Coturnix japonica: one gene and its partners. The protein of the gene in region 4 binds, or shares a complex with, the protein of the main gene of each other region. Links are inferred from orthologs where the notes say so. Each region holds a gene or a part of one and is shown on either strand. Other genes may lie near its edges.

Evidence for each region.
Region 1: the proteins of FGFR1 (region 4) and FGF23 are in contact, whole or in part, in a cryo-EM structure (PDB 7YSH), measured with the Homo sapiens proteins. The link is inferred for Coturnix japonica from reciprocal best matches to the Homo sapiens genes FGFR1 and FGF23. Residues at the interface, in NP_075598.2 of Homo sapiens: Glu159, Lys160, Glu162, Lys163, Lys164, Leu165, His166, Ala167, Val168, Pro169, Lys172, Gln244, Asp246, Val248, Glu249, Arg250, Ser251, Pro252, Val279, Tyr280, Ser281, Asp282, Pro283, Gln284, Pro285, His286, Ile287, Ala314, Gly315, Val316; in NP_065689.1 of Homo sapiens: Leu31, Leu32, Gly33, Ser34, Trp36, Gly37, Tyr43, Ala45, Thr46, Ala47, Arg48, Asn49, Ser50, His52, His66, Ile75, Arg76, Ser77, Glu78, Asp79, Ala80, Gly81, Val83, Val84, Tyr93, Phe108, His117, Gln118, Thr119, Asn122.
Region 2: the proteins of FGFR1 (region 4) and PLCG2 are in contact, whole or in part, in a cryo-EM structure (PDB 8JQI), measured with the Homo sapiens proteins. The link is inferred for Coturnix japonica from reciprocal best matches to the Homo sapiens genes FGFR1 and PLCG2. Residues at the interface, in NP_075598.2 of Homo sapiens: Lys504, Asn506, His541, Lys542, Lys598, Ser602, Tyr605, Gln606, Arg609, Glu612, Tyr613, Ser616, Lys617, Lys748, Asp755, Arg756, Val758, Ser762, Gln764, Glu765, Tyr766, Leu767, Asp768, Leu769; in NP_001412678.1 of Homo sapiens: Phe528, Arg540, Thr568, Phe569, Pro570, Asn571, Phe577, His585, Cys586, Arg587, Arg589, Ser590, Thr591, Met592, Gly595, Leu601, Thr602, Asn604, Leu622, Arg623, Cys624, Ala625, Glu626, Phe627, Glu738.
Region 3: the proteins of FGFR1 (region 4) and KL are in contact, whole or in part, in a cryo-EM structure (PDB 7YSH), measured with the Homo sapiens proteins. The link is inferred for Coturnix japonica from reciprocal best matches to the Homo sapiens genes FGFR1 and KL. Residues at the interface, in NP_075598.2 of Homo sapiens: Asn272, Gln288, Leu290, His292, Ile293, Asn296, Gly301, Pro302, Leu305, Pro306, Tyr307, Val308, Gln309, Ile310, Leu311, Lys312, Glu322, Leu326, His327, Leu328, Arg329, Asn330, Glu334, Asp335, Thr340, Leu342, Leu349, His351; in NP_004786.2 of Homo sapiens: Ser539, Gln540, Phe541, Asp543, Leu544, Asn545, Val546, Tyr547, Leu548, Trp549, Asp550, Val551, Lys555, Arg556, Leu557, Val560, Val563, Thr565, Lys566, Arg568, Tyr571, Val573, Ala576, Glu625, Arg628.
Region 5: the proteins of FGFR1 (region 4) and FRS2 are in contact, whole or in part, in an NMR structure (PDB 1XR0), measured with the Homo sapiens proteins. The link is inferred for Coturnix japonica from reciprocal best matches to the Homo sapiens genes FGFR1 and FRS2. Residues at the interface, in NP_075598.2 of Homo sapiens: His409, Ser410, Gln411, Met412, Ala413, Val414, His415, Lys416, Leu417, Ala418, Lys419, Ser420, Ile421, Pro422, Leu423, Arg424, Arg425, Gln426, Val427, Thr428, Val429, Ser430; in NP_001036020.1 of Homo sapiens: Asn25, Val26, Asp27, Asp28, Leu33, Leu47, Thr49, Arg50, Asp53, Ser54, Val55, Trp57, Leu60, Cys61, Leu62, Arg63, Arg64, Tyr65, Gly66, Tyr67, Asp68, Ser69, Leu71, Ser73, Phe74, Gln81, Thr82, Ile86, Phe87, Ala88.

What each region holds. Positions count from the first base shown.
Region 1 is NC_029516.1:67,143,591-67,149,208, forward strand, and holds the start of FGF23 (fibroblast growth factor 23), read left to right. Parts: upstream 1-2,251; 5' UTR 2,252-2,373; coding exon 2,374-2,596; intron 2,597-4,762; coding exon 4,763-4,866; intron 4,867-5,367; coding exon 5,368-5,618. UniProt on the Homo sapiens protein: Regulator of phosphate homeostasis. Inhibits renal tubular phosphate transport by reducing SLC34A1 levels. Up-regulates EGR1 expression in the presence of KL. Acts directly on the parathyroid to decrease PTH secretion. Regulator of vitamin-D metabolism.
Region 2 is NC_029526.1:13,917,326-13,922,346, forward strand, and holds part of PLCG2 (1-phosphatidylinositol 4,5-bisphosphate phosphodiesterase gamma-2), read left to right. Parts: intron 1-48; coding exon 49-168; intron 169-1,126; coding exon 1,127-1,307; intron 1,308-1,879; coding exon 1,880-1,948; intron 1,949-2,728; coding exon 2,729-2,838; intron 2,839-3,642; coding exon 3,643-3,739; intron 3,740-4,150; coding exon 4,151-4,217; intron 4,218-4,479; coding exon 4,480-4,637; intron 4,638-5,021. UniProt on the Homo sapiens protein: The production of the second messenger molecules diacylglycerol (DAG) and inositol 1,4,5-trisphosphate (IP3) is mediated by activated phosphatidylinositol-specific phospholipase C enzymes. It is a crucial enzyme in transmembrane signaling.
Region 3 is NC_029516.1:155,891,462-155,896,482, reverse strand, and holds part of KL (klotho), read left to right. Parts: intron 1-826; coding exon 827-1,095; intron 1,096-3,931; coding exon 3,932-5,021. UniProt on the Homo sapiens protein: May have weak glycosidase activity towards glucuronylated steroids. However, it lacks essential active site Glu residues at positions 239 and 872, suggesting it may be inactive as a glycosidase in vivo.
Region 4 is NC_029537.1:3,723,661-3,729,275, reverse strand, and holds the start of FGFR1 (fibroblast growth factor receptor 1), read left to right. Parts: upstream 1-1,787; 5' UTR 1,788-1,991; intron 1,992-5,615. UniProt on the Homo sapiens protein: Tyrosine-protein kinase that acts as a cell-surface receptor for fibroblast growth factors and plays an essential role in the regulation of embryonic development, cell proliferation, differentiation and migration.
Region 5 is NC_029516.1:32,158,073-32,163,782, forward strand, and holds the start of FRS2 (fibroblast growth factor receptor substrate 2), read left to right. Parts: upstream 1-1,900; 5' UTR 1,901-2,046; intron 2,047-5,710. UniProt on the Homo sapiens protein: Adapter protein that links activated FGR and NGF receptors to downstream signaling pathways.

The DNA of each region.
Region 1 (5,618 bases), on a different chromosome or scaffold from region 4:
GTTCAATATATTTGTTTTAGCCCAGCAGCTTATAATCAACAGTCTGGAATTTCGCTGTTAAAGTGAGAATCTTCTGAGAATGCATAACAATTTAAGCACATGAAAGTACTTTTCACTTCTTTGAGATATCAACAAAACAAACAAACAAACAAACAAACAAACAAAAGAGAAATAGGTTCTCAAAACTGACACACACTATGAAATGACCTGAATATTTTTTTTCACCAGAGAACTCTTTCTATGCAGCTGAGACCTCAGAGAGAGTTCAGAACATTGCATAGTAATAAGCACAGAAGGGCTTTATCATGCATATGAAATATTGAATGAGAAAAACTGCATTCACAAATAATATTAATTAAAAAACGTGCCTCTTGTGGAAACCTTTATAACTGCTTCTGAGGTATTTATATCCACATTTCTACAGCAGTCAAATGAAACAGAGAAAAAGAAAAAAAAAATAATAATATAAATACTTATGTTTGAATACCAGACCCCTCCACCCTCCTCCTCCCCCCCCCAAACAAAAAGTGAATAACTTTAACACTAAATAGATACACTTAAAAAGGGAAAAAGAAAAGAAAAGAAAAGAAAAGAAAAGAAAGAAAAGAAAAGAAAAGAAAAAAAGAAAAGAAAGAAAGAAAAGAAAAGAAAAGAAAAAAAGAAAAGAAAAGAAAAGAGAAAGAAAAGAAAAAAGCTTCTTTTTCTTCTTAGATAGCTTTTAAATTAAGATGGAAAAAACATTTCAGACACTATAACCATTGAAATATCTGTAGCCTTGATTGCCTCAGAGTAAAGACAGTTTTGTCTGCCCGCTCAGCTTGACCCTTATACACTTTGGCTAATAAATGCTTCCATTTACACAGGTGCAAGTTTCTAGATTTACACAGGTGTGATAGAAGAATTTGGCAGAGTTCTACTAATTTTAAACTTAAAAAATAATCAGATCTACTATGGTAGTTTTATCAAGCTGTATTCTGTGCTGATGGCACTGCTCCACAGCTGTTGATGGGACTAAGAATTTCACAGTGTCTAACTAAATCCTGTAACTTACTAACTTCTCTGCCTGAAAGCAGTGAATCTAGGACTGTTATGCTTAAAATCTCCAGGCGTCTTCTTAAGAAGTGATTCAGTTATTGCTTTGTGCTCTTTTCATTCTGTATTCATTTCTGAAACAAACAAGCCAACAGCTAAATACAGCCTATTGTCACAAGTATTCCTATCACTGCTGCTTAATCTGTATAGCCAGCATCCCCTTAGTACAGTACTTCTATACAATAAGCAGAACAATATATGTTTCTTAATCAAAAAAGTTGCTGATGAACTGTTGTACATTGACAGGACAAACGAAAAAGCAGATATAGTATCTTGAAACCATTTTAACATCACTTTACACTTATTTCTTTTCAATTTACTCACATCCCAAGCTTGTTTGCTATACCTGAATCAATAGAAATGTGCCATTATGAGTGATTTTACTTTTGATTCAGATCCTAGATCTTCTAGCCATGCTAACCTATGTGGCTCTCTAAAAGACCACTAACCAAACATGCAATGAGGGAACAAACTTCAGATTCTAAGTATTCTGCAGCTGATCTTCAGCTGTTTGGTCAACTCCAAATTATTTAAGTGATTCAAAGAGGAGCAATAAAAAGAAGAGCTTAGTTGGAGTGAGGTGTGTGCACATCAAGTTTCACTTGCTTAAATGAGGTGACACAGACATCAATCCGCCAAACTCACTGCTAAAGTCACACCATAATGAAGGAACAGACCCAGAACAATTTAATCTCAGATTATGATGGATCTGTGATTTTTTTTTTTTAACTTGTGTTTTTGGTTTTAATTTGCTGTTTTCAACTAATCAGAATGTAGTTTAGAAATGAAGAGAGGAGGTAGAAATCTAAATCTGAGGGGAAAAAAAACACAATAAATTTAATGGGTCATTCCTTTCTCTTCACAGAAATTACAGTGGATTGCTCTTTCTGGATTTAACAGTAGAGGCACAGGAAACTTTAAGATGTCACAAGTTTGTCGATAACATTTGAACATATGATTAGCTTTGGTGAGCTGTCTTTAGAAACCTTATATTTCTTCCCCCTACACCTTGCCCAGAGATCCTACGTGCTTTCCTTCCCTTGAGGTTTTGGAAAACTTAAAATGTTGCTTTGACAAAAATCAAGGATGTGGACAAGTTTTTTTGTTTTGTTTTGTTTTGTTTTCCTGTGTGATGTCACTTATCCTGCTCTTCATAAAGCCCTGCAAAGAAGGGAACTTATCTGAGGATTCTTGCTGCAGACACAGACAAACAAGGGAAAGTGAAAAGCGCAAAGGAGTATCAAGTTTCAGATACGGAACAGCCACTAAGAGCTGAGAACCATGACACACACCAGTCCCTGCAGCTGCCTGGAGTATGCGCTGCTTGTGCTGTGTATACTGAAGGCTGCAGTTGCCTTCCCTAACTCCTCTCCACTACTGAATCCCAGCTGGGGGAATGGAGATCAGCTGATGCACTTGTACACTTCTACAGAGAGGAACAGCTTCCATCTCCAAATCAATGCTGATGGACACATCAGTGGTGTTCCTCACCAAACCATTTACAGTAAGTAGCTTATTATGGACCCTCTGTCTTCATGGGAGTAGGGGAGGGGGATCAAGACTTTTGCTTTTTCTATACCTATACAAAATTCCATCATCTTGCCAGGCATACAAAGAGAGGAGCAGAGCTATGGGATCAAAAACATACACAATTCTAATACTCATTTTGTTTAACAAATACTTTGCTTTAAAGAAATATAACAGGTGGGGAAGAGGTATATACATAAGGGGTACAAGGGGTATATAACAGGTAGTTATCTTTGTCTAAGATGACTAAAGTTGTGTGGTTCCTGTGATGCTCTGCAAGCAAAAATTACCTGAATTATCCTTCATTTTATGATTTTACCCATGGTTTCTTGTGGAATTTTTTATTAGTGATTACATTTCCACTGCAATGATAGCATTGCACTGAGAAAAATCACCACAGCAGTTGTGGAAACCAGATTATGGTCATAACATATTTTGGGGTGGAGATATTCGATCTACTAAAATTAGGTCATTTTCTTCCAAATGTATCAAAACCACTCTTTATTGAAGATTGGTTTATAAGAGAAACTTTAGTTATGTGTTTTTAATGCAGATGCATGGCAGAAACTTAGTTGTGCATGGAATGTGGGTAACTGAGTGTGCAACAGTTGATAAAATGGGGGGAAACTGTGAAAGTCCAGATTGTAGTTAAGAAGTGCTAAGCCTTCTGAGTCCATCAGAGGTAATTATTCCCTTTTGTAACTCAAAGGTTCCATTGTAGTTTATTTTCATGGAAAATGCAGGTATTCTTTGCTGGATGCCTGCCTGAACAAATTCATTAGTTTAAAAAAAAAAAAAAAAAAGAAAAGAAAAAGAAAGAAAGTGTAGTTTGGTTTGGTTTGGTTGTCTTTTTTTTTTTTTAGGACAAATCATTCTTAGATAGGATTCCAAAATTGCTTCTCTTTTAACAGCACTCAAATCACAAGTAGCTATGCATCATAAAGTCATTTTTATTACTACTGCATAACATGCCCTTCATCCACACAACTATATTTAATAAGCACATCTTGTAATACTTGTGCAAAATAATATAAGGAACAAAAGACAATTTTAGAAGTTTAATTTATCAAAGAGAAAAAATAACCAAGTTCCCGTATTTCTCTTTTAAGGAATTACTGATGAAACACTTATAGGAATGTATGTTCTGTCTTAATGTTATTTTTCCCATACATCTATGGGTTTTATAAAATTTGTTTTTTGGCATGCTGGGCTATAACCAGAGAGAAGCAAAAGAGAAAACAGCCAGTAAAAATCCATGTTTTGCCCATATCTGTAATGAAAAAAATCCACATATATTTGGAAGGATTGAGTAGGAGGGGTTGAAATCAGTCAGTGGGGTCATGAAAGGGAAGGTGACTGAATTTCTGCCAGGTCACCACTAGCAGTGAGATTCCAGGTAAATAGAAAGTCCAAAGTGCTGTGCAGGCTGGGAGGAGGCTGGATGTGTGCAGCCCTTCTGGGCAGGAACTAAGGGTTACAGAGGGCACACACTCAGTTTAAGAAGATGGCAAGCCATGTACTGTGGTCAGCAGGTCAAGGGAAATTACTTTTCAGCCTTTACTTAGCACCAATGAACCTGGTCTTTTTACATTATTATGTAAAAAAACTCTGTTTCAGATGGACGTGGAGAAATTGGAACTGGTCTAGCAGGGAGTTTTCAGGATAGTCAGTGGCCTTGAACATGAACATAAACAATTTTGGAAAATGTTGAGGGAACTAAGTTTATTTAATGTGGTAAAAAGTAGTTTAAAGTGAATACCATGGGGCAGTCACTACAGGCAGTCATAAAGATGAGGCAGTCAGACTCCCTCTGGTCATGGCCAGAGACAGAACAAAGGAAAAACTGGCCCAGAGTGGAATTTGAGGCTTCAATTGGGATGTTAGAAAAAAAATTTCTTTGGAATGTTAGTGCAGCACTGGAACAAGGGTTCAGACAAAGATCAAGATCAGATCAAGAGATGTAGTGGCATCTCCACTGTAGGAACTTTCCAAGGATCAAACAAAGCCACATCGTACCTGATCTAAGGAGCTCAATAGTCCCAGCTGACATAGAAGATGGGTTCAAATCAGCATGTGGACCAGCAAGGCAAGAGTGTGGTGTCAAATGGGATTCTGGATTTGACATCTTTGCTTTCTCAAAAAGGTGCCTTAATGATCAAGTCTGAGGGTGCTGGCTCTGTGATAATCACAGGTGTGAAGAGTGGACGCTACCTATGCATGGACATGAAAGGAGACATTTTTGGATCGGTAAGTTACCTTTAACAGGTAAAAGACAGGCACAGTCTGCTATATATGATCCATTTCCTCACATAGAGCAAATCTGTATAAGTACAGCAGTAGGATGCAGATTTTGGCAAGCTGATAACCTGCTGCTTAGGTTAAACTTTTTCTCCTCTTTGATTGCACTGAATTGTAGACCTGATAAAGAGTTCATCTGAGTTCCTGCTGGAATATATGAAAGCAGAAAGAGATCCAGTGAGATCTTGCAGACTTGCTACAGTATACATTCACAGTAGTTCAAGCAATGCAGCCCTCTGCTGAAACTAGTGTTGGCTCAATAACACTCCTGTTGAAAATTCAGACATTCGTACTGGATTAACATGAGTTGTCTGAGTTGCAGACCTGGAAGATCAGAAAACACCTTCTGCAATGTCTCATCTGTCTTTTTGTCTTTAACAGGTGCTTGTACTCCACCAAATCCCTTTGTTGACGTTTGTCTTTTTTTTTATTTTCTTTCCCTTCCCTAAGCATTATTTCAGCCAAGAGGACTGTGTGTTCAACCAAAGGACACTGGAAAATGGATATGATGTGTACCAATCTCCCAAACACAATTTTCTGGTTAGCTTGGGCAGAACTAAGCAAGTTTTCTTCCCTGGTATGAATCCACCACCGTACTCCCAGTTTTTGTCCAGGAGAAATGAAATCCCTTTGTTTCGATTCAACACACCTGAACCCCACAGAAACACTAGAAGTGCAGATGTCGATCCAATGGATCCTCA
Region 2 (5,021 bases), on a different chromosome or scaffold from region 4:
AGACAAGCTTTATAATCCTCTGTCCATTTTGATTTTTGGCTGTTGTAGTTGGTACTATAGCAACTTGAGTCGAGGAGAGGCGGAAGACATGCTGATGAGAATTCCTCGAGATGGAGCCTTCCTAATAAGAAAGAGAGACGAGCCTGATTCATTTGCCATGACATTCAGGTAAGAGAAGACAGATGTGAATACATTATCTAGTAGCCAACAGTGTTCTGGGTGGGGTTTTTTTTTGTTATTCTCTTTTTCTTCTTCCATTTAAAAATGATTGTTTATTTTTTGAGTCATAAAGTCCATGCTGTCAAATTCGGAGTAATTAGTATGGCTGATTTGTATAGCAGACCACGTGTGGTCAAAATTGTGTGAGAAAGTGTACAGCAGTAAACTGTCAATGGAATAAACCTTAACTTTACAAAATTGGGCACCAGTTGTCCCTTTTTTTGCAGTGCAGAGCTGTGTGTGACCCTTCTTTAATTCCTTGACATTCCCTGCATCAGAGCACTGTTTTGACTTTCTTTCTGGTGCTGGTTCAGCAATAATTCTTTATCCTCTGGGAATTCCACCCTGTCGTCTGACTGACTTAAATCCGTTCGGTATCTGTCAAAACAACAGTGTTTTCTATCTATTTGTAGGCTTTTATTGCCAGGGAAAATATTTTTGAAACTCTGGTGCCTATAACAACATTAATAAAATGTATGGAATTATGGTATTCTCCATTGTGCCTTCAAATCAAATTGCGTTTGAGGTGAGTTTGACTTATTGCTTAGGGACAGCGGCAGATCAGCAGCGGTGGATTCCGAAGGGACTCTCAGTCTGATTCTAGACATTTATGTTCGTCTGAAAGTGACAGAATACCCCCGTGTACAGGAACAAAATAGGGAAATTTAATCTAGGCAAAAACATGGATTTTTCCCGAGGCCCTGTATGTTGTAGAAAAGTCAGAATATCTTTTTATGAATTTAATCAGGCGAATGGAATTCTATTTGAATAAAAGATGTTTTGGAAGAGGGAGAAACTATTTCACGTGATTAAGATGCGTAAAACAATTTTAGTCTAGTTTGCAGCACTGATGCTTTCGCTATGCCAAGTACCAATACCTTCAACAGCACTTATACTTGTTTCACAGAGCTGAGGGGAAGGTGAAGCACTTCCGAATTCAGCAAGAAGGTCGCCATTTTGTGCTTGGAACATCAGCCTACTTTGAGAGTTTGGTGGAGCTGGTAACATACTATGAGAAGCACCCTCTGTACAGGAAAATGAAATTGCGTTACCCTGTGACTGAGGAGCTGCTGGAGCGCTACAGCACAGTAAGTGATGTCCTTTGTATGAGTGCCAAGTGCTTTAGCAGATGGAGTCCCAAGTCTGGGTCTGGTGGAGCTGGGTTTGGTTTTGCCTGTGATAGATGTCCTTCAGGGAGGCTTAAGCAGTCTGTGAAATCAAGATAGTTACACTGATTTCTCTAAAAGTTTTTCAGACATGCGAAGGAAAAAGCCTCATCTTCGTTAACAGGGTGGCTTCTGCTTTCCTCATAATTTAATTAGAAAAGCTCTTCCATGAAATGGGAGATACTGCTCTGTTTTTTATAATAGCCTCACCTGCAGTTGGCTCTCTCTTCTGCAGGGAAAAACGAATTTGCCATCTTTCAGGAAATTCAAGTCTGTTTTTTTCTGTCTCTTCTGGACTAAAAGGAGCAGAAAGAATTTTAGACCTTGTGATTATTGTTAATATTGATGCTCAGCTGTGTTCAACTATGGAGATGGAGAGGGAAGCCAGACACCTGTCTTATGATCTTCAGTTTGCATCTCTATTGTCAGAAAGGTATTTTTCTAAGTTTTGATGACTGTAATTTACCTTTTTTTTTCCTTTTTCCCATTTTTAGGAAAAAGATATAAACTCTCTTTATGATGTCAAGATGTACGTGGAACCCAGTGAAATCACCCCTACAGTGGTATGTGTTTGGAGAGATGGCCTTCAGATCTTCTCTTAGACTTCTGAAAACAATGAGTTCTGTTCTGATTCACCCATATTGGGAATTCAGGCACTTCTTGCTATTTAGTCTGTGGAGGTGGCTTGATTTGTACATGTGCTTATTCAGGTGTGCTCCAAAATTTAATACCAAGCAGCACAGCAGACATTTCCTCACCTCTAATTCTTGTTATGGTCTCCTCCTGGATTCCCCTAAACTTCACCTGTTTGGTTAATTCAGTGGCTATAATTTTCTTTTAGTCTTTTTGGCTGATGTATTTAAGTTGCTACTGAAGAACTGGAGTACTAATAAGATAAAGCAATGATTTTTTCTGCTGAAACTAGATGTCTTCCTAAAGGAAATGTGAGCAGCAGGATAGCTGATGTGGTTTGGAAGTGGAAGCTCTCTGACTGTATACTTGCCTATGAGCTCCAGCTGTATATAAATACCTGTAATGGTGTAGAAGATTGACACTTCTTTTTTTCTTTGCGATAGTAATTATGTTGCAGTGCTTTTCAAAAACCAAACAAAACACTTTTTTACCCAAGCTGATACTTGAAAAATAGCAGTTAAGTAGCATTACTTGCTTCCAACAGTGGGTGTCACTATGAAGCTTTAGTACTGTGTTTTCCAGGCGTAACAGCAACAGAAAAGGATTCAATTCCACCCTCTCCTCCTCCTCTTAAAAACAATAAAATTGCATTATTGATCATTTTATGACCTGTCCCCCTGGATGACCTGTTTGCTTTGTTTCTCTTAAAGCCTCAGAGAACAGTGAAAGCCTTGTATGACTACAGAGCCAAACGAAGTGATGAATTGAGCTTTTGTCGAGGAGCTCTCATTCATAATGTCACAAAGGAAACTGGAGGCTGGTAAGGACAAAGATTCCTCGTAGGAGAACTTCTAGTGGCTTACTGGATGGGAGAGGAAGATTAAACTTTGGATAGCGTGTTTTTAAAAGCATGCCTGTTTGATGGCTGCTTATTAAATGAGGCCTTATAAATGTTAATACTGATATACTAAATGAAAGCAAGAAACATCAGATGTAAATCTCCTGTCTTTTACATAGTTTTTGGCCCTACAGAACTAGCCTCAGCTTGCAGAATCTTCATCATACCAGTGTATCCCCTATTTCTCCGTTCCTACTTTAATACTTCCTTAACACTTGTGTTCTGAGAAGTTGTGCATCTATTACCTGTGTCATCATTACTGTGTTTCTTTTGCTCTGTTTAGTACTTCTCAGGAATGAAATCCATTTTATTTAGTTGTCTGTATAGTTTCCTTTCATCAGTGGCTTTGTTTCTTAGCTGCCTTGCAAATTGCTTGGGAATCTAATATTTCCCTGTAGTTTCTGCAGGGCAATCAACCACATAATAGTATTTTTAGTAGTGGAGGGGGAAATGCCTCTTAAGTCATTAATTGCAGTATACAGTAGCTGTAATCCCTCTGAAATGATCTGTTACTGCAGTTAATGATCACTTTGTTAGATCTTGCAACTACTTCATCGCTTATATTCTTGGCGATTGCCAACTGGAGAAGCTATTGTTGGGTATTAATGACCAATTTCTTGAGGATTATTTCATAGAATCATGGTATCATTTTCTCATTAATGGCCTGTTGAAGCACTTAAACTATTATTTTTTTTTTCTCTGTGTATGCTTTTTGTCTTAATTCAGGTGGAAAGGGGATTATGGAGAAAAAGTGCAACACTATTTTCCATCTAATTACGTTGAAGACTTGTCATCTGATAATTCTGCTGAGCTTGAAAGCCAGGTGAGGTTTAAGGTTTGACTTCTGTGTTTACTGAGAACACACTTCCTGCTGTGAATCTGGTTTATGGACTTCAGATGCTTTGTTTAAGGGAATGCAGAATAAAGAAATGAATGCATTCTTCACTGTTCTCTGTGCTGTCAAGCATTTTAGTCAGGATGTCCATCAAGGAAAACTGCTCAAAGAGATAACTGATTTGATTCTGTTTTCTTGTATATTATACCAGTATGGATTTTTATTTCACATGGCTTATCTAATCTATAACTTGCCTGAAACTTAGAATTAGTTTGCCTTTTAAATATTACAGTGGATATGCCTTCAATGAAAGTGTAATTAGATTGAGTGGTGTGTATTTATTATTTGTTAATGTTCTGTGCAGAAGACTGTGTCAGCTGTATCTCATGTTGTTCACAGATTATTGAGGACAATCCTCTAGGCTCTCTGTGTCACGGCATCTTGGTGCTAAATACGTACAATGTTGGTATGTACTTTCTGATTTGTGCGTGTTGACTCCTGAACTTTCTGTGCTGAAGTGGATCCCTTATGTTTAGCATAAAATAACTGGCTTTGAAAGCTATTAGTATTCATGTAGCAAATACTATCAATACTTTAAAAGATTCTGATACTAATTGTTCGGTCCCATAAGAGCACTTATTGCGGCCAGGACTTTAACAGTGCAGTTTAACAGTGACAGCATAGAAGAACTGGATTTTAGTGTAAACTTTTTGCTACTTACCTGACAGTGAAAATGCCACAAGGGAAACACAAAAAGCCTTTTGTCTTCATTTTGGAACCTAAGAATCCAGAAGATCCGTGTGTTGAATTTGCAACTGATAAAGTAGAAGAGCTGTTTGAATGGTACCAAAGCGTCCGTGAAATCACATGGAAAACTGCGGAAGAGGTATTGTTAAAAATATACCCTTTTATTGGTTTTTAATACGTAGTGCTGTAAGTTTACAGTAGGACTTGTTTTATACCGCTAAATCTTGCTAAACTACGTACCTAATCTGTGTACCTGTACTACTACCTCTACTTAAAAACGTTCTTCAGGACTTCCTTTTCCTGCTCTGATGTATTAATTTACTTCCCTGTTGTCTTTTTTGGTATTTAAGAAGTCTTTGACATGGCCAAACTGCCCTTGTGTTGACTACGCTTAAAAACACCGTTTCCTTCTCTGTTTCTACTCTTTATTATTGAGTGGGTGTTATGAATGACAGAAAATATTTTTCAGTATCATGTTGGCTTGTGCTGTTTATCTTTCATCTGCAGTGGCAATATTCTCAGG
Region 3 (5,021 bases), on a different chromosome or scaffold from region 4:
ATTATGTAATTAAAATAAGCACTCTTCTGTGTGCTTTACTGAAGCTGAGCTTTGCTGAGGAATATTTTGCTGAATCTCAGTGTTTGATACAACTTAATGTGAGAATTGCTTGAAATCTCAAAGCTGCAACACTGGCTATACTAACAGTTGACAGTAGACTCTTACTTTAACCTAAAAAGTGTGTGGAATCTCACAAAAGCCAAACAGATGACCTAGAATATATATGTTTACAAATCTTTGAATATTTAAGCTGGAAAACTCTATGCCATAAAATATATGAGGGGATAGAATTAACAGTCTTTACCCAAAAATGTTGTCCAGGCTTTCTTCATCTATATTAATAGTGGAGAGGAATGGGAAAAATGAGACTGTCTGGGTTTGGGGACCAGGTAGTGCTACGCTGGTGACACTTTGGCTCTGGGAGAGCTGCAGCACACGCTTAGCAGAGCACAGCAGTACTGGCTCAGAGGCTGCACACTGTTCAGGCACAGCATGCCCTGCTCCAAGGCCAAGTATTGGCACACCTTGTCAGCAGGGCTGCTTGATCTGCTGCTGCATCACTACTTTTTTGAGTCTGGATTCTTTAAAGCCAAGTCAGGTAGTTTTGCTGACTTGCATAGCATGCCCGTGTGCTGACAGCCTGTCCCAGAGCATCCTTGGTGCAGCTGAAGTATCTTTCTTAAGTGGGCTTTAAAGCAGACCCTAAGATTATACTTATCTGACCTATTGTTCTTATGAGTAAATACTGCATACTTTGCTGATACAGTATAATCTACTCAGGAAAAAAAGAGCCCTGCAGTGAGTTTGGGTTTTGTTCTTTCCTCAGCCATCCGGTACGATGGAGTTAATGTGTTTGGATACACAGTCTGGTCCCTCCTGGATGGCTTTGAATGGCACAGGGGATACAGCATTCGGCGCGGATTGTTTTATGTTGACTTCCAAAGCCACGACAAAAAGCTGATACCAAAATCTTCTGTCTTGTTCTATCAAAAGCTGATAGAAAAAAATGGCTTCCCTCCTTTGCCTGAAAACCAGCCCATAGCGGGAGTCTTTCCCTGTGGCTTTGCCTGGGGGATTGTTGACAACTACATTCAGGTAAGTCTGACGGTGCAGCCAGTAGGTTCTCCAGCCAAACCACTGGACAAGATCATGTTGGTAAATTTGCTGAACGAGGACTTTGCTGGCATATATTACTACAGCACTGCAAGGAAATGGGTGTAAGACTTACAGCAAACACTGTGCCTTTCATCCTTCACTAGACTTTCTTTGTGTGACCAAGGAGAGCCGGTCTAGCATACAGTCTAGGAAAGAATGACCTAGAAAAACGTATAGAAGGGAAAGGGTCTGATGCGCTTTCTTGGATATGTTGAGTGATGTGTTACTGAAGTCAGTTCTAATTCTATTTAATGGAAGTTGCTTAGATGTGCTAAAGCGTGTTTCTAAAGGTCCTAATTTATGAGACTGAGAGTGTCACTACTCTTTCAAGTCAATGGCAATGTGTTTGCCTGCTGTGGTTATGCATGTTATAGAAAATTTCCTGAAAACTCCCAGTGCTTAAAATGGTTTGTTTCCACATCTCATTTGTATACACTTTGGCACCCTTGTTAGAGGACTTATGTGTTAAAAAGAAAAAAAAAAAAAAAAGTAAATTACTTGAATTTAGATAAAATTCCTGTATTCCTTCCTTGCCCTTTAGTATAGAACTGTGTCTGACTGAAGCTTCAGCGCCCCTGGATAACACGCAGACTGAGTGAGGATCCAGTTCATAGCTCTCACTGGTTTTGTTTTTGCTAAATCTGATATTTCAAGAGAACCTTTCAGACATTAAGACTTCATAATGTGTAAGAACTGTAGCTTAGTTACAGTCTCTAACTGTTAGGCTCTGTAATTTGTAGGCGCTGCTTTGGCTTACAGGGCTCCTCCCACCACAGTGAAGATGTGCAGTTAAATTCAGCTCCGAGTATGGGTGCAAGAACAGTACTTTTAATTTAAGTTATCCTCAAATACAGAATATTTCTTCAGGCTGGAGTGTAGGGATTGTTTGTTTTTTCTTACTCCAAAACTAAGATCAAACTTTGTTCTCTTGAAAAATATGGCACCCTCCTTATCTGATACATCGATTTCCAAGAAAATTCAACAGTCATTATCCTCCCAGCTCGTAGATAGATTAGGGACTGGAAATGAAATTGCTGCCTTTGGGATCAATAACTGCTGTAAAGTTACAGAGTCAGTCAGCCTAAGACAGGTAAAAATCCCCCCTATCCCCTAAACCTTCAAAGCTGAATATTTTCATTTCAAAATGCTGTCCAAACAGTTTGTGCTGGTACAGCTTAGGTAGCGTGATTTGTAGATGCATCACAGTGGAAAAACTCTTTTGACAGCATTCCCAGAGTATTAGTGGAAATGCATGCTTTAGTAATCTACAAGGGACAATTCTCCAGAAAAGCAATTTCCCGCAGACACGCTGTTTTTTATTACTTTCTTCTATAAGCACTGCACTGACCTCTCCGGAGAAAATAGCAGCTGATTTTCAGCAGCTCTTTATACAGTCTGCAGTGCCTCAGCTACGAGTTGAACACTGGTTGTAGGCTGACACCTGCTTTTCAAACAGAGGGCAGGACAAGGAAATCTTAACTCTGGGGAGCCTTGCGCTAGGAGAGAGACAGGGACAAATAAACAGATATAAAGGAACAGCACCTTTATGTCTGGATCTTTCTTTTATGCCAGATTATAAAAGAGGATTTTACTTTGTGCAGTATTTTGCATAATTCATTTTTCCATTTTCTAGTCCTTATTATGTTTGTGATACTCACTTAAATTTGAAATTGTAATTCTGTGGGACTTGGAGGAGCTCCTGTCTTATTGTCTGTTGCATGTCATAACAGGCACATCTGACATCTGAAGCCCTAAGACTTACAGGAAAACTGCTTATTGTGGGGTGACATATAGTAATAGGACAAGGGGGAATGGTTTCAAATTGGGATAGGAGAGGTTTAGGTTAGATATCAGGAAGAAGTTTTTCACTCAGAGGGTGGTGACGCACTGGAACAGGTTGCCCAAGGAGGTTGTGGATGCCCCATCCCTGAAGGCATTCAAGGCCAGGCTGCATGTGGCTCTGGGCAGCCTGGTCTGGTGGTTGGTGACCCTGCACACAGCAGGGGGTTGGAGCTAGATGATCATTGTGGTCCTTTTCAACCCAGGCCATTCTATGATTCTATGATACTCAGAGGTCTGAAAAAAAAATCCATCAGAAATTGACATCTTGCTGAAATAAGTTGTAATTGAGTTCTGTACAATTAAATGAAAAAGGACTTCTTTAGCAGGAGAGAAAAAATTTGCTTGTCAGCTGAATTTGTGCTAAAAATCAAGTGCGGAGCTTTATACGTCCTGCATCATAGTCACAAAGAAGAAAAAAAAGACACAGAAATGATGTTACATTCATTATTTATTTTACTCTGCTCAAGGAGTGGTCTTGAAAGAGAAGCCAGTGGGTAATTTACATCAGCCAGAACCTTTGGTGTAGCTTAATCCTGAAAGAAAAACATATTTAAAAAGCCTGTAGCTTTTGCTGCAGATCTGCTTCTCTGGAGATCTGCTGCTGTTTTAATGCTTTAGCCCTGAGCACTCCCTCATTTCTTTGAGTACTGCAGCAATCTAGAGATGGCATAAGCACAGTAACTATTAGCATAAGCTTGTATGGCAAATAGGATGAAAAAGATGTGTAGATTTGGTACTGTTCCGGCATCACATGTTAGCAGAGAATTAATTCTTTCATATGAGCCCAAAATGTTACTGTATCAGAGATCTGATAAGTGCTACACGTACTTTTTGTCTTGCAAAGTTCTGTCAGTGAGTTGTGCCTGATGGTAATGATGTTCCCACACACCTAGAACAAACACCTTGAATCTGCTGTGTTTCTGATTCTACCTAGGTAGACACAACTCCTGCACAGTTTCTTGACCCTAATGTTTATGTGTGGGATGTTCACCAGACAAAGAAGTTAATTAAAGTGGATGGAGTTTTCGCCTCCAAACGCAAGCATCACTGTGTTGACTTCGCTGCCATCAGACTTCAGATCTCTCTCCTGCAGGAAATGCACGTCACTCACTTCCATTTTTCACTGAAATGGTCTTCAGTCCTTCCTTTAGGCAATCTCTCTCTAATCAACCACACACTTGTCCATTATTATCAGTGTTTTTGTAGTGAACTTCTCAGAGTTAATATAACTCCTGTTGTTGCTCTCTGGCAACCTATGGCTGAGAATCAAGAGCTTCCAACATCTCTTGCCAAATATGGAGCTTGGGAAAACTCAGAAACTGTTCAGGCTTTTGTTGAGTATGCAAAATTCAGCTTTGCAAGTCTTGGGGACCATGTGAAATTTTGGATCACAATGAATGAACCGTCTGTGAAAAACTTGACATACACTGCAGGACACAATCTGTTGAAAGCCCACGCAAAAGCATGGCATCTTTATGACAAAGAATTCAGGAGATCTCAGAAGGGTAAAATATCTATAGCTCTGCAAGCTGACTGGGTAGAACCAGCTTGTCCCTTTTCCAGGAATGACCAAGAAGTTGCTGACAGAATTTTAGAGTTTGACATTGGCTGGCTTGCAGAGCCCATCTTTGGCAACGGTGACTACCCACATGTGATGAGGGCATGGCTTCACCGGAGAAACAGCATTGACCTGTATAATTTCCACTTGCCTTCTTTCTCAGAAGATGAAAAGAAATTAATCCAGGGCTCATTTGATTTCTTTGCCTTAAGTCACTACACGACTACCCTTGTGGGCTGGGAGAGAGAAGATGCACTGAAATATGACCACTATCTTGAAGTTCAGATGATCAACGACATCACATGGCTGCACTCCCCCAGCAGAGCTGCAGTAGTGCCCTGGGGACTGCGTAGAATTCTCAGATGGGTTAAATCAAAGTATGGTGATGTCCCAGTTTATGTTATGGCTAATGGAATTGATGATGACCAGAATATTGTGCACGATAAGCTCAGAGTATATTACATAC
Region 4 (5,615 bases):
TCCAAACCCAAACTGGCTGCATCTGCTTTTGTTTTCTAAATGCAGAAGTAGGGACTGAAAGGAGCCCCTTTGTGGTGGGGAGGAGGGGAGATCTGCGGATCTTTAAGTGGGAAACCGAAGGTCAGGGCAGCCCCTATTCTCCCAGCAGCACCTTCAGTTCTTCCCTTGCTGCCCAAGCACAGCAGCACATGCACACAGATCCTGTGGGCTGTTCTGCCAACGGAGCCTTACGTCCCTTTTATCCTCATGCTGTTCTTGATTAAGAGCAGTTCAACAACAATCCCGGGTTCCTGTGAAATCCCCATCTGCAGCACCTTGAGGCTGCATTGATAACGTGGGATGGAATGGCACATCATGGCCACACATGGAGAACCCCCCGGGTGGGCAGGGGGCACTGAGGCACCATCCCCAGCCTTGTGCCCACCAATGTCCCAGCAGACTCCATCACTCTCAGTGGCAGAGTTGGGTTTCCTGCTCTTCCAATAGGACCCATTTATGCTCCACTTGTGCCACCAGATGATGATAATTCATGGTCATTCCCACACTGAGCCCCAGTTTGATGCTGGGGATGTGGATATACCCCTGAGCCTCCTTGGGCAGGGGATGCTTTTCCTATTGTCTGCCAGTTCTTTTGCTCATAAGGGCCCATTTACCAGTGTCTGTTGATGGAATCCAGCAGAAAAACCATCACAAGAGCAAAAGGGACGTGATTCCTCTGCCTGCCTCTGTGCTTCCTGCTCTCAGCAGCCTCAGTTTGCCAAGGGAATAACGCATGGTACCTTCCCCTCCCTCTGTCCACACATCTGTCATCCTGGAAAGAAAGTATTCGTAGGTCTTGGCACAACACTCTGAACAGTTGCCTGAAGCAGCAAGAGGCTGTTCCTGAGATGGATGCCCAGCATTTGGTTCAAATATAGCGATGGTGATTGACAGGGCTAATTCAGCCTGTCCTCTTCCCTGTTATAACTTAATCACTTGCACATTGCCTCGCGCAGATCTTTCCCTGCCAGCCAGGAGATGTCTTCATTCTGGGCTGCCTTGGTGTGAAGCTGACTGGGGGCTGCTGGGCTGAACCCTGGGCCAGTTTTGGGGAGCTCACCCAGAGCTGAGCTCCATCTGTGGGTCAGGCCAGGCTGGGCTTCATGGCACGGCCATACACCTCCATGTCCTCAACTTGAGCATCCAGCACAAATGCTGCCTGTGTATGCAGAGATGTTTTGGGGTGCTGAGCTTTAGGGCAGCACCAGAGCTCAGGGAGAGGTTACCCAAAAGCACAGCACAAACTGCAGCAGTGGTGGTGGCTCCCAGGAAGGTGTTGGGTATGGAAACTCCATACAAATCGGCCCCACGATGTGGGTTAGGGGTAGGGATAAGGGTAGGGTGCCCGGGGTGTCGCAAAGCAGAAGATCTGGGGTACAGGGCTGCCCCACACCTGCTCCCTGTGTGCAGTGTAGGGCACACAATGGGGTGAGTCACAGCCGAGAGCAACGGAGCAACAATCCGGCGATCCCCCCGCTCCACGAGCGGAGTTTTCGGGGACCACCGCCGCCTTCAAACCCCCCCCCGCCCCACTCCCGAGAGTCCGTTCCGGGGCGGCTGCCGGCAGCTCAGCCCCGGGGGCTCCGAGGGGGCGGCCCGGCGGTGACTACAAGCCCCATCAGGCCGCTGAGGAGGAGGAGGAGGAGGGCTGGGAGGAAGGCGGGGGAGGAGCCGGCGGGAGGCGGCGGGGCGCTGCGGGAGCGGCTCAGTCCGGCGGCGGCGACTCGCGGCGGGGACGCGGCGGTGCGGGCAGCGCTGAGCGGCGGCCGTCGGGGCGGACCGCGCCTCCCGGGAGCGCATCCCGCCGCCACCTCGGGGCCGGGGTCCGCCATGGGGCGGCCGCAGTGAACGCGGCGGCGGCGGGGCTGCGCTCTCGCCCCGGCCGGGGCTCCCCTCCATTGTTCCCGGGAGCGGCGGGCACCGCGCCTCCGCCGCCGCCCCGCGGGACTCCGGTGAGTGCGGGGAGAGGGAGCGGGGCCGCGATTTGTGCTTCGTGCGGGGGGGGGATCGCTCCGGGATCGCGGCCATCCCCATCCGACCGGGGGGGGCGGCCCGACGGGGCCCCTCTGCGGGCAGCGCGGGGCTGCGGCTTGCGGGTACCGAGGGCGCGGGGCTGCGGTACCGGAGGTTCGGAGGGTTTAAGGACACCGGAGCGGTTCGGTGTGTGTGCGGAGGGGGTTCGGCTCTGAGCCCCAGGGCACCCCGGGCAGCCGCCCGGCGGCACTTCGGAGGCGCGGTGGCTCGGTGCCCGGTTCTCGGGTCGGTGCGTTCTGCTCGGTTCGGTGCCGAGCTCCGGGACTCTCCGTGTTGAGGATCCGGTGGGAGCCCGGAGCTTCTGCCCGGCCTGCGGCCGCCAAAAGTTACTGGGCGGGAGTCTGGAGGTTTCTAAAAGAAGATGGAGAAGGAGCTGGGATTGTTGCGTTTGGAACTCGAGATGTCGGGGCCTTTTCGGTACAAATCGGCTGCGGAGGCGATGGAAATGAGCCGGGCTGAGATCTTTGTGCGTGTTGGCGTGGGAGGTGAAGGGGATCGGAGCGTCCTTTGCCAGCATCGGGGAACGGCTCCTGCGTGTGCGCAGCGTGGCGGCCGCCTACGCCGCAGCATTGGCGACATCGCGGGGCTGATGCGTGCGGGACCGATGGGCGCGGGGCTCCGCGTGGTGCCGTGGGGTCACAGCGGTTCGGTTCTCGGTTTAAGGCCGGCGGTTGCCGCGGGGAACGAGCGGCGCTGAGTGTCCATTTGAGGCGGATTCCAGCGAGCGGAGCCGAGCGCCGTGTGGATTGTTGGATAACTCGGCGGTGCTCCGGGCGTCACGGCTCAACGGCCAGACCTCCAAAGTGCGATTTAGCGAGTGCTTGCGTTAACAAAACTGCGGCTTTGGAGGCTGCTCCCAGGCACAGGGAGATGGAGCTTTGTGCTCGGCACTGATTTGCAATCATGAGATCCCGGGATGTGCCCGGCCGGGATGCTGCAGGACCCCGCACCTCTCCCTCCGGCCAGCAGCCATTTTCCCCGCACAGGAGCACTTCCTCCCTTAATCTCCACCGTGCCTGGCATGCACCGTTGCTTTCTTGTGTTGCTCAGTGAGGATTAAAACAAATGAGGATCGTCCCTGCCCCGGCAGGAGCAGCGCTGTGCTCTGTGTGCACTGCGCCCACTGGGAAGGAGCCCGAGCTACTTTCAGGTGCAAACGGGATCTCTCTGTTTATATACCTGAAAACAAATGAAGTGTATTGGGAGCTGAGGATCTCCAAGCCCCCATTGCTCAGCCGGGCCTGGAGCACAGATGCTTGTCCCAGCAGTTTGACTTTACCCTCATTGGGACCTTCTGCTCCTGGGGATGAAGGCAAATGTGAGCAGCGGGGATAGGTCTGCGTGTCCTTCCGCCCGCAGTAGCTTTCCTGGGAGGAGCTGAGTGCAGCAAACCCCATCCCGCTCCCTCCCAGCTGGGTAACTACTCTGCCTCTAACAGGGGGTGGGGGCTGTGTCCCTGTGTCCCATTCTAGGGCAGCTCTTTGCTGGAGCACTCAGCACTACCAGCATGGAGCAGCCTTTGAGGGATCAGCATGCCTGAAAATCAAGCCCCCAGGTGGGCATCCCTTCTTTTAAACCTGATCTGCTTTTACTGAGCCTTGTGCCCCACCAGACCCCCATTCACATCACTGCATGCACGCAGTGCGCTGTAACTCAGTGCTGGAGCCGTTGGTGTGCAACAGGCTGCACCATGTGGCTGCAAAGGGTTAATGCTGAATGCAGCCCGCACAGTTGGATATTTATTTTTCCAAGCATGCGTCTGCTTTAAGCATTACTGATTTTCCCTATAGTTACATCTGCAGTCGTGTTTGCTTTTTATTTCAGCAAATACTTGGTTTTGAGCGGGCGGTTGGGTCAAGGAGTGCAGGGCAAGGAAAAGGTTCCCTGTGCCACCAGGAGCTTTGCCTTTGCTGTGCCCTTCTGCTGCAAGGGCACATGGAGGGGCTTGGAGCCAAATTCATCCTACATCATTGTCAGGGTCTCCCATTTGTGGTCACCATCTCCTGCCCATGGGTGGGAGCATCACCTCAGGGTCCCCATGTGGAGCAAATGGAGCCCCTTAGGGATGTCCTGGTGACCCTCCCAGCCCCATTCCCACCTGGGGTGTCCCGGTGCCGTGGCCCTGCTTGTATCCTCACCTTGGACACTTTCCCAGGGATGAGCCATATGCTGGGAAGGGGTTTCCCCACTGTTCTCTGCTCAGCATTGGGCTGTGTATCCTATGTGCAGCTCACTCAGCCCTGACTCACAGCACAGGGCGAAGGTCCGGGGTCATTTTGAGGACAGCAGGGCTGGCAGGTTGCACCTATGTGGGCAAAGGCTGTGCTGGGGTGGGAGCGTGCACAGGTGGGCATAGGGGTGTTCCTTCAGCTCCTAAATAGCCCCGTGGGTGTTGTGGCCGTTGTAATTGCAGGTCTCTAAGGGGCCCTTAGCTCTGGTTCCTCGCTTTCTGCTTCCATTTTTAGTCACTTGAATCCACCCCAACCAGCAAATTGCAGCGTGCAGGGACAGTGCTTGCATGGAAGGAGCTGGAAACTCACGCTGGGGCTGGAGCAAGCAGATTCCTTTGGGGATCCATATCTGCACACAGAGCGGAGCTGTGCATTGTGTGCACAGGTTGGAGGGTTCCTGGGCTGCTCTGCCTCGCGTGCATCACTATCCCTGCTGCAATGGAAACTCTCTGCTGTCGGCCCCTGAGTCAGCGCCCGCCCCACTGCAGCTGAGCCCCACTCTGTGCCCTGACTCACTGCTGGGAGCCGCTGTGTGCACCGTGCTGGGGGGGGGGGGCTGTAGCCACTCCACATTAGGGCATGTTCCGGGGGGTGCTGATAAACAAAACCTCAGAGAGACAGAAAATACTTTCCAGAAATGCCATTGAATTTGTTTCTTTCCATGAAGCGTTCCCACCTCCTCCTTCCAACCGCTGATAAATGGCTCACACTCCATCAGTGTTTTCACCAGCTATAGATAATGCCCGTGTTTGCTGGGTGTTCCTGTCCTTGTGTGAATAGTTTGGGTGCCAAATGCTGAAGAGCTGGTAAGGGAAGAGGCAAAAGCTGCCCCAGGGTTAAATGAGGTCCTTTGGGACAGAGGATGCCCCGTGGTGGGAAAGGGTTCATTGGGAAGCAGGAGCACGATGGCATCCAGGGCTCCAAGAGCACGTGGGGGGATGAGTGGTGGCCCATTACTCACTGCAGTGGTTACTCACCTTGTAGTAATGTGCATTGGAGCCAGATCCCATATGGCAAAGAAGCACTTGTTCACGCGGTGCGCTCCGCACGGGGCTTTGGGGTGATGTCAGAGCAGCACCAGGTGAGCTCATGTGGCTGCAGCTCCACCTCTGTGCCGTCCCCTTCACACCCTCTGCTCCTGGAGCAGCCATCCATCCCAGGGTTGTGCAAGATGGGGCACGGAGCCCTGTGGGAGCCCAAGGGGGCCATTAGTGACCGCGGGTGTCAGGACCTCGGCTGGAGGCTGTTGTGGAGCTGCAGATGTCGCGGAGGGAGGAGTGCAGTGCTTGGATTGCAGCCTAAAGGCTTTGG
Region 5 (5,710 bases), on a different chromosome or scaffold from region 4:
TTTCTTTCTTTCTTTCTTTTCTTTCTTTTTTCTTTCTTTTTTTCTTTCTTTCTTTCTTTTTTCTTTCTTTCTTTTTCTTTCTTTCTTTCTTTCTTTCTTTCTTTCTTTCTTCCCTCTCCTTCCCTTCCCTCCCTTCCCTTCCCTCCCTTCCTCCCTTCCTTTCTTCCCTTCGCTCCTTCTCTTCCCTTCCCTGCCTCCCTTCCCTTCTTCCCTTCCCTTCCTTCCTTCCTTTCCTTCCCTTCCCTTCCTTCCTTCCCCCCTCCCCTTCCCTTCCCTTCCCTTCCCTTCCCTTCCCTTTCTTTCTCTCTCTCTCTCTCTCTCTCTTTCATTTTTAACTGAAATGTTGACAATGTAACTAATGATGAAATTATTAATGAAGCAGTGAGCCACTGGTTTAAATTATTGGCTCAGTTTCATTCTTCTGAAAAAAAAAAATAGTATGAACTCCCTGGGGATAGGATTTTTTCTGAAGAAGAGCAGATCGGGCCATAAGAGGCTGCTACATGGCCATTACTGTATGCAAGGGCTTTGTTTGACTGTGAAAACAACAACTTCTTGATTTGACATACAAAGGGTCATTCTACTTAGCATGCCACACATGAGGAGAGGCAGAATGTGACCAGTGTTGCTCTGTTCAGCTAACACAATAAGTCCCGCTCTCTCTCTTTATAAATCTGTTTTCCAGCTCCTGAAATGTTTGCTATAGAGTTTTTTGTTTTTTTGGTTTTTAATAAGTTTTTGTTAGTGTCAAATGGACTTTGGAACTGATAGAATAAAACTCCACTCCTAGGTAGCATCTTACAACAGAGAAAGAGAGCGAGATGCTGTACCACACTTCAGCCAGGAACATGCTTTTGCTGCTGAGTCACAAACCCTGAAAGGAACCATTATATAACAGCCCTCACCTACAGCTGAGTTAGGTGGTGCCTGTTATGTTTCAGTGTGTAGCTGAAACATTTAGGATGGAAACTGGTATCCATCTCCAAGGCTTTGATCAGTATTGATGCTGAAGTGTACACAACTCTTGCTGATCAGAAAGGGCTGCCCACTAGAGGAGACGTGAAATGGGATGGAATCCAAAGGACACTCCAGAAATGCAATCTGGCATTCCATCCCCTCAGAGTTCCTTCTTTGTCAGACCCAGGAGTTAAGAATATGAGTAAGGCAAAACTTTATTAATGAGATAAATCTACTGATAACAGTTCACATACGGTTGGGCTGCTCTCTTGATTACAGAACTGAATAGTCTTTAATTTTTAAAGTAGCTTACAGGCAAGGGCAATAATCTAAGGCCAAATTCCATGATAAATCTTACAGTGTACAGAAGTTGTCTCTGCTTTCAAAGCTGATTAAAAGGAAGTTCCGAGTGATGTAGAACAGAACTGAAAATGCCATCAAAGAACTTGGAGGTGTTCAAGACCAGGTTGGACGGGGCCCTGGGCAACCTGATCTAGTAAAGGTGTATGTTTGGTGGCCCTGCCAGGCAGGGGGTTGGAACTACATGATCCTTGAGGTTCCTTCCAACCCGGGTCATTCTGTGATTCTGTGACTTAAAGCAACGTTGGTTCATAATTTGTAGACAGTTGCAAGCAGTCTTCAAAAGAATGGCATCTATAGCGCATCTCAATGGACGAGCAGTCATCTCAGTCTGGGATGATGAAAAATGACTGTAGATAGGACCAGCAACCAATAGAAGATGGAGAACTGAACTGTCAAAGAGACAACGGACATTCACGTTCAACCGCTGACTACGAAGCCGCCTCGCCCCGTGTCCGCCGCGCCCGTCGGCCTGTGAGCCGGCACCGTCTGAGGGACCCACACGGAGCGGTGAGGAGCCCGAGCGGGGCTCGGCGGGGCCGTGCCGCCCCGGAAGGCGTTCCCGCCGTGCTCCGGAAGCTGTGCGGCTGAGTCCGGCCCAGAGCGAGGCCCTGTCGCCGCCGCTGTCGGGAGGCGCCGCCGTTCCCCGCCGCGGACGCGGGGCCGCCTCTCGCCCGTGGTAGGCGGCCCGGCCCCGGGCTCGGCGGCCGGCGCGGGCTCATGGCGGAGGTGGGTGCGGGCGCCGCTCCCGTCCCCGTCCCGGCCTCGCCTCGCGGGGCGCCCGGCCGGCTCCCCTCGCCCCTGCCCCGCGGCCGGGGCCGCGCTCCTTCCCCGCCGGAGTGTGCGGGGCCGGCGGGGCGACGCGGGCGGGCGGGACTGCGGCCGGGAACCGCGGGCGGGAGGGGACGGACGGAGGGAGCGGGGTCGGAACAAAAGCGGAGGCGGCCGGGCCGGGCTGGCGGTGGGGGCTGCCGGGGGCAGGAGCGGAATGCGGGAGCGGCCGTGCCCGCCCGGCCTGCACGGTGCCACGGGTCGGACATGGCCAGCTGTCAAGCTGGGCCGCTGCTCCCGGCTCTCTGCGATGTGGATGTGGGGGATCACGGAGGTCGGAAGGGGTTTGGGCACCGCTCTGCATCGGTTCTCTGCCCGAGCCGTGGTGAGACAGAGACGCTTTCTTGGCTTCATGGTCTCCGTGTCCTGCTCAGCATCAAAGCACGAGGGGTGGTGATGGTGAGAAGAGGTTAGGATGATGTTGGGCAGTTGGTAAGAGATGACACCGTGCTGTCTCTTAGCTTTTTATTTTACTTATAGTGCTAGTGACAAAGTGACATTTAGCATAATGAGAAAGCACAGCCGTATTGTATCTTGCTTTAACAGTGTTAGTGATAAATCATTCTGTATGATGACTCTCATTCAGTCCATACTGCTGGCTCTGCAGTACTTTTGTATTTAAAAGAACAAAAACCTAATTTCCCTAAGATTCATCTCTGCTTTAGAAGCGGGTCGATATGAAGAAACATTCAGATCCAGTAAATCCAGATTCAGATCTGTTTGTTTGTCTGGATCAGCAGAACTGCCAGCGAGGCTCCCTGGCTGTTTCCCTCAGTTTACAAGTGTGTCTGAGCAGCACAGCCATCCTGCGGGCGGTGTTGGAGCCTGCTTCAAGACAAATGTGCATTGATATCAGTGTGAGTCACCAGTTCAGGTCCAAAAATATTCCCTGCATCACAAATGGAAAGTGATTAAGAACGTTATTTCTTGACTGAGAAGCCCTGGGTTTATTTGCCTACGTATCAAGAATGCTTTGAAAATGCTTGTTGAAACAATGTCCCAGTGGTTGTATTTATATTTGGTTAAGCAGCTTTTTGCTCACTTTCCAGTTCAGTGTCTTGTCTCGAATGCTGGTGGTTGGCTGTAGTCAAAATTAATTGTTCACGATTCCCTTTTCAATCTACCAATGCAGTAATAAATGTAATTGCTTGTAGGTTTGCAAGGTTATTTCTCGCAGTCAGTGTGCACTACTACTTATAATAATTTACTTCTCGAAGATCACCTTGAAAGCAGCGATGTCCATGCTTAGTAGGGGATCTGATCCTGCAGTCAGCACTATTCACTTCTATGAGCCCTGAGTCTCACAGTTTGAGCAGTACAGTTCTTTGAGTGGCGTCTGAAATTCATTCCTCAGCAGAGCGGTTTACAAGGCTGCTGACGTTTGAACTCCAAAAGAAATGTATTAGAATCATCACGCTGAGCTGCTGTGGCAAATTGAAATGTAAAATAGGGCGGTACACAGGTGCACTTTGCAGCATCAGCTGTGGATTAAGACTGGATGTTCTGCTTTCAGCCTGCCCCTGGTTACCCCTTGTGCTGGGAGTGCCAGCTTGTGGAGCTGGGCTGGTGACGGCAAGTGGCTTGTTCTGTAGGGTGCCCAGAGGAGCTGGGGATTCTCCATCCTTGAGGTGTTTGAAGCCAAGTTGGATGGGGCCCTGGGCAGCTGGATCTAGTGGATGGCAACCCTACCCACGTCAGGAGGTTGGATATGGATCGGTCCCTTCCAGCCCAAACCATTCTATGATTCGTTCTGTGTCTTTTGGTTGATGATGCTCTGGGCTGGATCCTTGTGAGGTAGGGACGGGGTGTTTTGTGAAAGTGGTGGTGGGACTCACGTGCTTGAGGGGAAGAGCAGGGCTGCCTGGGCCTTGACCTGTAGCCAGCACTGTGGGACTTCAGCTGGGACTCAACTACTTCGTGTGAATGTGTTGCTGTCATGGACCATCTCCACCACAGGAGGATACAGTTGGTCCTCTTTGCTCTCAAGCTCCTAGGCACAGGCCGGTGCCTGTGCAGCACTGGGTCGAGGTGCACCCAATGGGGTGTGAGGGGAACAGGTTGCTTCTGGCAATGGGGATGAGTTGTGCCAGCCTGGAGTGTGCTTGATCCTGGCTGACTTTGGTGAAGCTGAGCTTGGGTTGAGCACGGAGGGTCTGGATGCATCGTTTGGTTGTGGTTTGTCAGCATGCTTAAAATCTGAGATCCTTTAATCTGTGGCAGTGCGACTATGATTTCAGTGTGCATTTTGAAGGGATTTTAAGTGAGGAGTCTTATAACTGCTGTTCATCTGTCGGATTTTTGAGACAATGAATTTGTTGTGTGTGTGCATTGAGCTTTTAAACATAAAGACTGAGAAAAGAAGATAGTTACCAGTATGTGCAAAGAAACCTGCGTGATGTTCTGCAATAATAAGTAAATTGAATGACGGTAACAACAAAGGATGAAAATGCTGAGGCTGACCTGAGACTTAATGCTGTTGGCTTCAGACAGTTGAAAACTGCTGTCCAGAGGTGTAATTCCATGCAGCATAGGCAGGTGTTTTATCAGTTGAGCAGAAGTGGTACAGGAGCAGGTATAACATAACAGACTTTGCCTCGTCCACTCTTAAGCATCGCTTTCTTTTTTCTTTCTGTTGTTGTTGTTGCCCTTTCTGTGTAATCAGAGCTATATGTAAACTTTCATTTCAGACCTGAACAGATTATAAACTGGTGTGTAGTTGTTCCTCATGTAAGTGTGTAAGCATCCGTTTGTGTGGGTGCGCATGTCAAGCATTCTCCATTAAAGCACTCTCTTCAGATTCCTCTTCACTGTCTCAGTCTGGGTGGCAGCAATCACAGCAGCTGATTGAGTTGGCTCTTTGTTAAAGCCCATTTTCCTGGAGCCATGTGATTCTCTAGAATTTCAGTCTTTCCCTCAGGCTTGAAATCGCTTTAATAAGAGAACTAATAGCTTTTCTTCTGATGTTTATACAACACAATGTCATGATTATTGCATGTTTGAGAATGACTGTATGTATTCTTTCCTAATTAGCGGAAGTGTTGTTGTGATTACTATTTCCTTCCCTTGTTTCTGAATCCTTTAGTTTCATGTCCTATTTGTTCTTCTGAAACGCTTTCGCATCCATCTGGAGTGCACTGAAGTTCTTGCCATGTGAGCTGTTCTTACTGTGCTGCTCACACTCAGGTGGCCCAGGATAATCCCCAAACTTTTCACCTGGATCTCAGTTGACAAGTCACAGAATCACAGAATTGTAGGGGTTGGAAGGGACCTCTAGAGATCATCGAGTCCAACCCCCCTGCCAAAGCAGGTTCCCTACACCACGTCACACAGGTAGGCGTCCAGGCGGGTCTTGAATATCTCCAGAGAAGGAGACTCCACCACCTCCCTGGGCAGCCTGTTCCAGTGCTCCGTCACCCTCACCATAAAGAAGTTCTGTGTTACATAATGTGTTCCTCTTGGTTACTGCAAGCAGAACGTGGTTGCACATGCTGTTGCCACCATGGCTGCCTTTGCTTTAACTTGTAGAATCTACCACAGTTAGCAGAGCTGCCACCTCCTCTTG